Linked DNA regions of Saccharomyces cerevisiae S288C. The gene in region 1 interacts genetically with each later gene. Each region holds a gene or a part of one and is shown in the gene's direction. Other genes may lie near its edges.

Region 1 (3,516 bases):
GGGAAAACTGAAAATATGAATTCAAGCTAACTGTATCTTTTTGGATAGGGAATTGATCTAACAAAGCATTGTTATTATTATTATTATTATTATTATTATTGTTATTATTACCATTATCTTGAGGAAATGTTGAAAGACTGTGGTAAAGATCAGGAACCATTTCACTCGGGTTGATATCTATGGCGTCCTGACACAGCTCTCTTAAGGAGTCTAAAACTTGGTTAAGGAAGTTGTTGGAACGTACCTGTATCTGACTGCCCTTATACTCTGAATCTTTCGTGAAGTTTGCCAAGATCGCCTGTTGCTCAAGAAGATTATCGTGTAGTAATTGTATGAGCGATTCCGTTCTATGCTCGCAAACGCAACTTTGCGAATGGGTCTCCAACCACCAAACAGGGACAAAGTTCTCACAGACCCGGCATAGTTCCATTTTTGGCAGAGGTAGATTGAACTCGTCTATTATCATTTCCAGTCGTATTCTCTTCAAGTACTGCACGAAGATCTTAGCGCCGAACCCAAGCGTCTTGGCGAACTCTTCGGGAAGTTGGATATCGATATCGTCGCAATTATCGGATAACTGGATGACCATGTCGTCTTGAGCGTCTTCGTTGGCATAAAAGTCTGACCAGTCGTTTGTGCGAGGCTTGACTATCCACATCGTGTGAGAGGGCAACTGTGTGTGGCCATCCCTGATTAAGATACCACGTGCTTCCAAGGTCGTTATCGTACTTTCATCGTCACAGCCTGCGCTACCTTCATAGTCGGCTGCCTTTATCTTGAACGTTATAGTGCAACTGGTGTCATCATTCATGAGCAGCATGTCTGTGGCCTTTTGAAAGACACCTTTATCTTGATCGGATCCGAGAATAAGGTCTGCAATGTACGTCGGAGAAGAGCCACTATCATCGGCGACTCCTGTGATCGTGTTCCACTGTGGAGAGCCATATCGCACCTTGCCGTCCAGTTCCAGCTCCAAGATCATACACGGATTCTTCTCTGTGGCCAGCTGCAGATATTTTTCATAATTGGAGGAAGTCAATGAGCTTGGGTTCGAATTCGATGATATCGGGGAGAGCTTGTTTATGCCAAGTCCCTCTTTCATAGCCTGAGATCCGCCTGCGGTGTTACTTCTATTGAACATCTGTCTTCCTCTACTGGGCTTATCTATTCTATCAAATGAGGCAAGAGAAAGGAAAGGGAAAAAAAAAAAGGGAAAATGCTTGATGAGTTAGGAATTCAGTAAAAGCACCCACCAGAACCTCTACAGCAGGCCTTCCAGGAGTGGTTAAGAGGATAGAGAATTCTGTATATATATATACGTCTATATCTATACAAAAAACGGCAGACAATGCAGAAGTTGAAAATGCTGTGATACGAACAACAACTTATTTTTACAATGAAAAACAACACCAAGCTGCCAAAAGCTGTATATTAAAGTTAAAGCTCCCTCATTTTTAGTAAGGACGCTTTCTTTTCCCACAAAAGGGACGAGGAAAAAAAGAAAAACCTGGAAATATAGTCACGTGACATGAATAAACAAGACCTAGGGCAATATGGAAAAAGAAGCTAGGATAAAAATACATTTATGAGGGTTGTAAGGCAAAGTGGCTCAGCATTAAGTAGGGCTAAAAAGAGTCGCAAATATACATCGTACCGAGTGATGAACGTGGTTTTGAACACCTTGTTCTCTTTTGTTCTCGCTCCCTACATTCACTATATATTAGAAGAAATTTCACCTCAATGGACAACTCGAGAAATGAATACAGAAATATGTTTTTTAGCGAAATTTTCCTTTCTTCTTGTCTTCTTGTTTTATTTAAACTTCCAAGGCTTTAACTCAGTGTCAAACATAACAACCTCCTCCTCCCCCACCTACGACAACAACCGCCACTATGGAAATGACTGATTTTGAACTAACTAGTAATTCGCAATCGAACTTGGCTATCCCTACCAACTTCAAGTCGACTCTGCCTCCAAGGAAAAGAGCCAAGACAAAAGAGGAAAAGGAACAGCGAAGGATCGAGCGTATTTTGAGAAACAGAAGAGCTGCTCACCAGAGCAGAGAGAAAAAAAGACTACATCTGCAGTATCTCGAGAGAAAATGTTCTCTTTTGGAAAATTTACTGAACAGCGTCAACCTTGAAAAACTGGCTGACCACGAAGACGCGTTGACTTGCAGCCACGACGCTTTTGTTGCTTCTCTTGACGAGTACAGGGATTTCCAGAGCACGAGGGGCGCTTCACTGGACACCAGGGCCAGTTCGCACTCGTCGTCTGATACGTTCACACCTTCACCTCTGAACTGTACAATGGAGCCTGCGACTTTGTCGCCCAAGAGTATGCGCGATTCCGCGTCGGACCAAGAGACTTCATGGGAGCTGCAGATGTTTAAGACGGAAAATGTACCAGAGTCGACGACGCTACCTGCCGTAGACAACAACAATTTGTTTGATGCGGTGGCCTCGCCGTTGGCAGACCCACTCTGCGACGATATAGCGGGAAACAGTCTACCCTTTGACAATTCAATTGATCTTGACAATTGGCGTAATCCAGCCGTGATTACGATGACCAGGAAACTACAGTGAACAAGAACACTAGCCCCAGCTTTTGCTTTCTGCTTTTTTTCTTTTTTTTTTTTTTTAGTCGTGGTTCTCTGATGGGGGAGGAGCCGGTTAAAGTACCTTCAAAAGCAGAATGCAGGGTTATTGGAAGCTTTCTTTTTTTCTTTTATGCTAGTTTTTCCTGAACAAATAGAGCCATTCTTTTCTTATTACTAAGAAATGGACGGCTTGCTTGTACTGTCCGAAGCGCAGTCAGGTTTGAATTCATTTGAATTGAATGATTTCTTCATCACTTCATGAAGACAATCGCAAGAGGGTATAATTTTTTTTTTCTCGTTATTATCGCTGTTGGTGGGTTTTTTCTTTTCATATATTTCTTTTTCGCTTAGTGGTTTCTACTGTTCTGTCTCCGGTTAGTGTGTGCTACTTCAACCGAAGAAGAAGAGGCTTTTCAAGAATGCAAACGTGAGGTTGGCGCGCCCTCCTACAATTATTTGTGGCGACTGGGCAGCGACACTGAACATAGCTCTTGAACAAGACCCTTTTTTGGCTGCAAGGAGCAAGACTGGCTGGGGTTCCACCTCAAAGAGCCACGCTCTGCTTTTTTTCTATCTGTTTGTGTCATATCTATCTGTCTATTTATCTATATATATATTTTTTTATATAAAACTATAAAGAATTCTTGATGTATGCCCTTAGGTTGGGCAGCTTTTCAACCTTAGACTTGATGCTAACGCCGCTCTGTTCCTTCTCCCGTGCTCCCGCAAGCGAACATCTCCCCCTAACTCCGGGCCAATGAGTGATAACTATATCAAATACCTTCGAAAGGACCTTAGTCATCATATCACTCTCACTCTCACGGCTCTCTGTAGTCCTCCTCGAGGAGTGGCCAAGAATGTTCTGTTCCGCAGTCTTTATATAATCGCACTGGTTGAAGACGAAAGCTCATATAATT
Region 2 (3,755 bases), on another chromosome or scaffold:
TATTCTGGATCATTCTTGGCTATTCTCTGCACTTTTTCTACAGGTAACTTGGGCGAACACAGAGGTGCAGACGCCGTTTCTTTACCACTAGTCTCGTTGTTCATTGTGTTAGCCTGATCACATCGAGCGAGCTATCCTGACGCTATTCTCTCTTGTTTCTTCTGTTTTGTTTCTCTTACATTTTTCATTTTTTTCTCTAGTTGGAAAAAAAAAAAAACACTATATTAGAATACGCACATTGTTAGCGCTGTTCTTTCAATTGTCATCTATATATTTACAAGGGAATACACAAAATCCTGGTTTTTTTAAGGTCTGGGAACCATGACATAGGAGGAGGGTTTCTTCGTCTTCTTTGGCAATGACGAAGAGTAGACCTCCTTCAAAAGTGCCTGCGTCCTTTCGTTTTCGAGTGCCTCATCATAGGGAAGGGACATTTCCTTGAGTAAGACCTGCTTGATGAGCATAATTTCACCATGTAGCTGCGCTTCTGCTTTAAACTTGGCCACTTTGTGAAGATTCTGCAATGTGAGTGGGTTATGAGGTAGCTGGTTGGCGTCATCGTTGATGACTGACTTGACTAACAGCCACATCTTTAAATTGCCCCTGTTCACCGTATGCGATTCGGACATCACGGGAGAGTCGACTAGTTCCAAGACGGATTGCGGCGCTGAGTCGTTAGCCCTAGGCTCTAACCGCAGCACACGCGTGTACCCACCGGGCCTTTCCAAGTACCGCGGTGCGATCTCGCTGAACAACCGCTTCATCAACTTTCTGTTGTCTCCTGCTAAAAACAATTGGCTCTGAATTTGGGACTTTAATTCCGCCTGTGCAACACTATTACTTGTCGTTATTGCCCTCTTTGTCCAGGTAATGATCCGCTCTGCGACCCTGGAAGCCTCTTTACATTTGGCATGCGTTGACACTATAGATTCATGCTGAAACAACTGGCACGCAAGGTTTTTTAGCAGCGCATCCCTATGCGCCTTGTCCCTAGAGAGTTTCCTAGCAATACCCACTGTCATTGTTGCGCTCGACTGTGCTTCTCACCGTTTTTTCTCCTTGGCGTAGCCAAATCTCTTGACCGTTATAAGCTGTTTTAGCTTGTCAAATCCCACTTGTTCTTGTTAACCAACTTTTCCCGCCTCGTACGCGGTGACAGACAAAGCAGTGATTTTTGCTCATTGTATAAAGGGAGTCTTTACTATGGTGGCATAAGCAACAATACTACGTGAGCAGCAACGAAAGCACATATATAGACGACAAAGTAGTATGGTTTTGAATCCGTCCAAGTACCAAGACACCCGCACGTGGAAGATGACGCCTGCCATGATCAGGGCCCGTAAACCCTTTTTCAAAGGCAATATGCTCGGTCTCACGCTGCTGCTGGGTGTCACGGGCTCTGTTTACTACTACACATATCATTTTCTGCACAAGGACAACGACTTTGCAGACGTGCCCATTCCACCCATCGATCCGCAGGAGCTCGAGGCTCTCAAAAAGGAGTACGAAGCCAAGAAGAAGGCATGAAAAGACCGTTAATGTGGAGGTACGCTGTGGTCTTCCATCAATAGGCTTTGCGCTGTTCTTCTCTCCTCTTTTGTAAATAGTTTACCTACTTGCGTATATGTATATATATATATATATAGATATGCTTATACGGATATATACATACATTCTGTTTGTTTATACTCTTTGTCCTACTCTAACAGCCAGCTCTTTAGTTTAAGAATATGATGAAAAACTCAGTTTGGGAAAAAAAAGGAAAATGTTAAAGTATAAACAATATCGAAATAAGTTCATCTACCACGCACACTTCACCAAGTTAGCAAGATGAACTTGAAGCAGTTCACGTGCCTATCATGCGCTCAATTACTCGCTATTCTGCTCTTTATCTTTGCTTTTTTCCCTAGAAAAATCGTGCTGACAGGTATATCAAAGCAAGATCCGGATCAAGACCGTGATCTCCAGCGCGATAGGCCCTTCCAGAAATTGGTGTTTGTGATCATTGATGCTCTCAGATCAGACTTTCTTTTTGATTCGCAGATTTCCCACTTCAACAACGTGCACCAATGGCTCAATACGGGCGAAGCATGGGGTTACACGTCATTTGCTAATCCGCCTACCGTGACGCTGCCTAGACTCAAAAGTATTACTACGGGATCTACACCTAGCTTCATTGACTTGCTGCTGAATGTAGCCCAGGACATAGATTCCAACGATCTTTCGGAGCACGATTCCTGGCTGCAGCAGTTCATCCAACATAATAACACGATTCGTTTCATGGGCGATGACACCTGGCTGAAACTGTTCCCACAGCAATGGTTTGACTTCGCTGACCCGACACACTCGTTCTTTGTCAGTGATTTCACTCAAGTCGATAATAATGTGACGAGGAACTTGCCCGGGAAATTATTTCAGGAATGGGCCCAGTGGGACGTGGCTATCCTGCATTACTTGGGTCTTGACCATATCGGGCATAAAGATGGCCCGCATTCAAAGTTTATGGCTGCTAAACATCAAGAAATGGACAGCATTCTGAAGTCAATATATGATGAAGTGTTGGAACATGAAGATGACGATGATACACTGATTTGTGTTCTTGGCGACCATGGAATGAACGAACTGGGCAACCATGGTGGCTCTTCAGCCGGCGAAACATCAGCAGGATTGTTGTTTTTGTCACCTAAGCTGGCGCAATTTGCTAGGCCAGAATCGCAAGTAAACTACACATTGCCCATCAACGCTAGTCCGGACTGGAATTTCCAGTATTTAGAGACTGTTCAACAAATTGATATCGTCCCCACCATAGCAGCACTGTTTGGTATGCCAATCCCCATGAACAGTGTTGGGATAATAATACCTGACTTTTTACAACTGTTGCCCAATAAGTTGGCAAGTATGAAAGAAAATTTTATGCATTTGTGGAAATTATCAGACCATCACGGCGAGGTTGCTCTTGACGATTTCACTGCCGAAGATATTTATACAAAGATGTACACTATTCAAGAAACGTTAACCAAGTCTGCAACAAATTATAATTATCCTCTTTTGACACTGGCTTTTGTTGGTTTCCTCATAATAACAATCATCGCCATTTATGTATTATTACGTTATTCTGGGCCTGATTTTTGGCAGTTGCGCGTTTCTTCCCTGTCTGTTCTGTTAGTTTCCATTATACTAGGCGTTTCCACATTTGCAAGTAGTTTCATTGAAGAGGAGCACCAACTGTGGTGGTGGATAGTAACTGCATTCTCGGCGGTCCCTCTGTTCGTATACCGATTGAATGTGCTCATAATCGTGCGCTGGTTTATAATGATGGCATGCGTACGCTCAATCAAGTTTTGGAATAACAGTGGCCAGAAATTCATTTATTCTAACGTTATGTCCAATCTACTTAATCAGAATCCTTCCTGGAAGTGGTGCTTAAATATGTTGACATTTCTAGTGCTGATAATGGCATCTGCTGGTTTTCAAGTACTACATTTTATTGTCACTACTATTTTGGTGGGGTTGTGTTTCACGTACAAAATCTCGTGGGAAATCGTCAATGGTAACCAGGCAGAAATACCGCTCTTTATGCATGATTTACTGGCTAAGATAGACTTTGCACCAACTGAAAGTAACTTGATTGTACTTGCGCGCGTTTTCTTCCAAGCTTGGGCTATTGTTGTCATTTCAAGGTTGGTCCTGACGAAATTGAAAGTACTTAACAAGAACTACCTCATTAAAGATATGAAAGTTTATATAACAATTCT
Region 3 (3,755 bases), on another chromosome or scaffold:
TATCTTCCAGTTCATCAATCTTTTGTTTCTTTTCGATAAAGAATTCATCTGCCTCGTTGTACTTGGGCAGTGATGAAAACGATATACTCATAAATCCCTTGTGCGATTCCGCGTCGATACCCCCATTTTTTAAGACCTCGGCAGCATCCTCTGCACCTAGTAGTTGTATCTCACTTATCCGGACTTCTGACAGATCGTTGCTATCATTAATAGCGCCAGATCCAGTCAAAAATGCCCTTTTTTTAGACTCTGAACTAAAGTCATCACTTGTCAAAAAGAGTAGAAAATCTTTGTCCTTTTGTAGAACCGGATCTTGACATATTTTTTTTAACATGCTTTCCATTTGAAATCTTCTATTTTCAATGAAATTTTCCTTAAAACTGCCTACTGATTGCTTCTCTGGTGGTGGTGGTATTACTTTACCCCAATGGTTGTTCTGCAATTGACGATATAGCCACCTGAAATCTCTGTAACGCCTGCTTACCTGTGCATATTTTAGCTCAAGTAATGATGATTCACTGATTACAGTATACTCCACATGAATGGATGTTAGCTCTCCTACTTTGACCGGGTCTTTAACTTCAACTTTGAAAGCCACAGCCTTTTCGGTTGGTGGCACCTTTGAGCCAATCTTGGTTTTTCCAAACTTTTCTGAGTTTTCCTCGACCTCAGCAGGACTTGAAATATTAGCACCTGTCTGAGGAAGATTGTATAAAGGCCTGTCCACTTGCTCAAGGATATTTTTTTCAACAGAAGCTGTGAACTTGCCCTCATTGTTTTCTCTCCTTTCATTCCTATCGTCCAATGGCTCTTCAACAAATTCATTCTCTTTTTCAGCTTTCTTTAAGGGATCAGTAAAGGGTGTTTTGATGGTATCATCGGAAGCAGTTGTTCTCTTCGCTTTCAGAGAATGGTTGCGTTTGGAGTTTCTTTGAGCTCTGGCGGAATCAAACAGAATTCGTGGTTTGCCGGATCTTCTTCCAGAGATGCTTTTTGAAGTATTTGGTGAAGTGTTAGCATCGTATATCGTATCGTCAAAAACTAAGGGAGAGTTGGCGTTTCCAGTGAACAATGCGCCACCGGATTCTCTTGTTGCAATAAATTGTGTAGTGCTATTCTTGAGATCAGCAATCGGATCCTGTTCAGGGGCTAAAGAATTAATAAGATCGTCAGCTTTGGAATTGTCATGCTCCTCTAGTTGCGGATTACCAGCCACCGACAAACCAGGGTCTTTCCATTCTGGCGCACTATCCAAGTCTATCTTGTCCGCAAATGAAGCTGTGGTCTCTAAAAGCTCATTGTCTTTTCTTTCTTCATTTGTAGATATTTGACCAATTGATTCAATTGAATTTGAAACGAGGCTCTGAGTTTTATCTCCCTCATGATTTAGTTCGTCCCAAACAGGTGCTTCTAGATTATCCTCGTAGTCCATGGCTTGTTATTGCAGGATGTATGAAAGTTTATAAAATCCCTGCTGCAAATTAAGAGATATATGGTTTCGTTCACTACGTAGTTATAGTAAATAACCTTTGCTTAACCCATTTTTCAAAGCATTTTTAAAATTTACTGTTATCACTTAGTTGTTCTTAGCGGACAACTTCCGAAAAGTGAAATTTCATTTTTCAAAACGACAATAGTGGTATAGAATTATAGAATAACATACGTTAAAAATAGCTGAAGTTCATTACAGTTCTGTAGTGGTCAGCAAGGCATTTGACGTCTATTGGATAGCCTACGATGAAAGGTGATCGTTCGAGGCAAAATATGGCTGTGACAAAGAAGGCAAAGTTAAAAAAAAATGACGAGCCAAAAAAGGTTTTGAAGACTGCCGCGACCGAAAAAGGTGAGGGATCCAAGCGCTACTCCTTATGGAATTTCTGGATAAGCACATTGTTTTTAAAATTACTATTGATTCCTGACTACTTCAGTACAGATTTTGACGTTCATAGAAATTGGCTGGCAATCACCAATAAATTGCCCATCAGCGAATGGTATTATGAGCACACTAGTCAATGGACATTGGATTATCCGCCATTTTTTGCTTATTTTGAATGGTTTTTATCGCAATTTGTTCCTAAATCTGTACGTGATGACGGTTGTTTGGATATAGTGGAGATCGGAAAGTTCGGTTTGCCAACAATCGTTTTCCAACGACTCACTGTCATCTTCAGCGAAATTCTTCTATTTGTCATCCTTCAAATATACATTAATACTACAAAGCTAAGTGAAAGATCTCAAAGTTTTGTGGTTGCTTCTAGCATTGTACTATCACCCGGGTTTTTAATAATAGATCACATTCACTTCCAATATAATGGTTTTCTTTTTGCGATTCTAATAGGCTCCATTGTCGCCGCCAAGAATAAGAGATACATCTTGTGCGCTGTTCTGTATACTACAGCCATATGTTTCAAGCATATATTTTTATATTTGGCGCCATGTTATTTCGTGTTTTTATTGAGAGCATACGTTCTCAATGTCAACAATTTCAAGTTTAAAAGTTACAAAGATTTTTTGTTCCTGATAAGATGGGCAAATCTTTTGAAGTTGGCTACCGTTGTTGTTGGAATTTTCACTATTTGTTTCCTTCCATTTGCTCATCAAATGCCGCAAGTGTTGAGCAGGTTATTCCCATTCTCAAGAGGACTGACGCATGCATATTGGGCACCAAATTTCTGGGCGTTGTATTCTTTTATGGATAAAATACTCACTACGGTAATGTTGAAATTACCGTACGTCCACACTTTTGCTACAAAATTTATTAAACCTCCTCTGATCCCTCAGAATATCAAGGAAATTAATGAAAGGCTCGCGGCAAACAACAATGGAAGTAAAGGTCTAGTTCAAGACGTATTTTTTGTTATTCTCCCTCAAATTCCTCCAAAATTAACGTTTATTTTGACGATATTTTACCAGGTCTTAGCAGTACTTCCACTTTTGTTTGATCCATCGTTCAAAAGATTTGTTGGCTCGTTGACTCTCTGTGGGTTGGCATCGTTTTTGTTCGGGTGGCATGTGCATGAGAAAGCTATAATGCTAGTCATCATTCCGTTCACATTTCTTGTTGGATTTGATCGTCGTCTTTTGGTACCGTTTATGTTAGTTGCCTCAGCTGGTTATGTTTCCTTGTATCCTCTTCTGTACAAAGGCCAAGATTTTTTCATTAAAACATTATACACTTATGTTTGGTGTATAATTTATTTTGCCGCTTTTAGAAAAACTACGAAGATTTCTTCAAGTGTAGAAAGAAGAATCTTTTTCTTGGATAGGTTGGCATTAACGTACATCTTTTCATTGTTACCAATCGTCACCGTATTACAAATATTGGATGAAGTCAAGTGGAGATATTCATTTTTGCAAAAATTTGAATTCTTAGGATTAATGATATATAGTGTCTATTGTTCATTAGGTATAATCAGCTCGTGGTTTGCCTTATCGTGGTTATATAATTTTGACGAATTACTATGGCAGTGATACAATATCGCTTCCCTAGGACGTTAAAAAAAAAGTGATATAAAATTATTTATATATGAATCGATTTTAGAAATATTTATTGTACATTTTCACCTACTAACTAATTGAATAACGATTAGATTTCGATTTATGCAGTCCCTCACGCCAGTTCCTCATTATTTTTCGTTTACGTATTGTGCGTTTTACACTTGAATTAAAATAACATTACATTAAACTGAATGAAGGTCAACTCCATTCACATGCATCAGTTGAAAGGTATATAAGTACTACTTCAATATATTATC

What was found.
Region 2: mutations in HAC1 (region 1) and LAS21 together harm fitness more than expected from each alone (negative genetic interaction), as found in Saccharomyces cerevisiae (5 studies listed by BioGRID, with this or other methods).
Region 3: mutations in HAC1 (region 1) and ALG8 together harm fitness more than expected from each alone (negative genetic interaction), as found in Saccharomyces cerevisiae (5 studies listed by BioGRID, with this or other methods).

Annotation. Positions count from the first base shown.
Region 1 is NC_001138.5:73,287-76,802, forward strand, and holds HAC1 (transcription factor HAC1), read left to right. Parts: upstream 1-1,892; coding exon 1,893-2,553; intron 2,554-2,805; coding exon 2,806-2,861; downstream 2,862-3,516. Other genes in the region: protein kinase RIM15, read right to left, coding at 1-1,141. UniProt on the Saccharomyces cerevisiae protein: Transcriptional activator involved in the unfolded protein response (UPR) pathway. Recognizes and binds to the UPR element (UPRE) in the promoter of UPR-regulated genes such as KAR2, PDI1, EUG1 and FKB2.
Region 2 is NC_001142.9:315,454-319,208, forward strand, and holds the start of LAS21 (mannose-ethanolamine phosphotransferase LAS21), read left to right. Parts: upstream 1-1,830; coding exon 1,831-3,755. Other genes in the region: DLS1 (Dls1p), read right to left, coding at 1-104; mitochondrial 54S ribosomal protein bL17m MRPL8, read right to left, coding at 306-1,022; COA3 (Coa3p), read left to right, coding at 1,270-1,527. UniProt on the Saccharomyces cerevisiae protein: Ethanolamine phosphate transferase involved in glycosylphosphatidylinositol-anchor biosynthesis. Transfers ethanolamine phosphate to the GPI second mannose.
Region 3 is NC_001147.6:451,445-455,199, reverse strand, and holds ALG8 (dolichyl-P-Glc:Glc1Man(9)GlcNAc(2)-PP-dolichol alpha-1,3-glucosyltransferase), read left to right. Parts: upstream 1-1,737; coding exon 1,738-3,471; downstream 3,472-3,755. Other genes in the region: VAM10 (Vam10p), read left to right, coding at 987-1,331; VPS5 (sorting nexin 1), read right to left, coding at 1-1,432. UniProt on the Saccharomyces cerevisiae protein: Dolichyl pyrophosphate Glc1Man9GlcNAc2 alpha-1,3-glucosyltransferase that operates in the biosynthetic pathway of dolichol-linked oligosaccharides, the glycan precursors employed in protein asparagine (N)-glycosylation.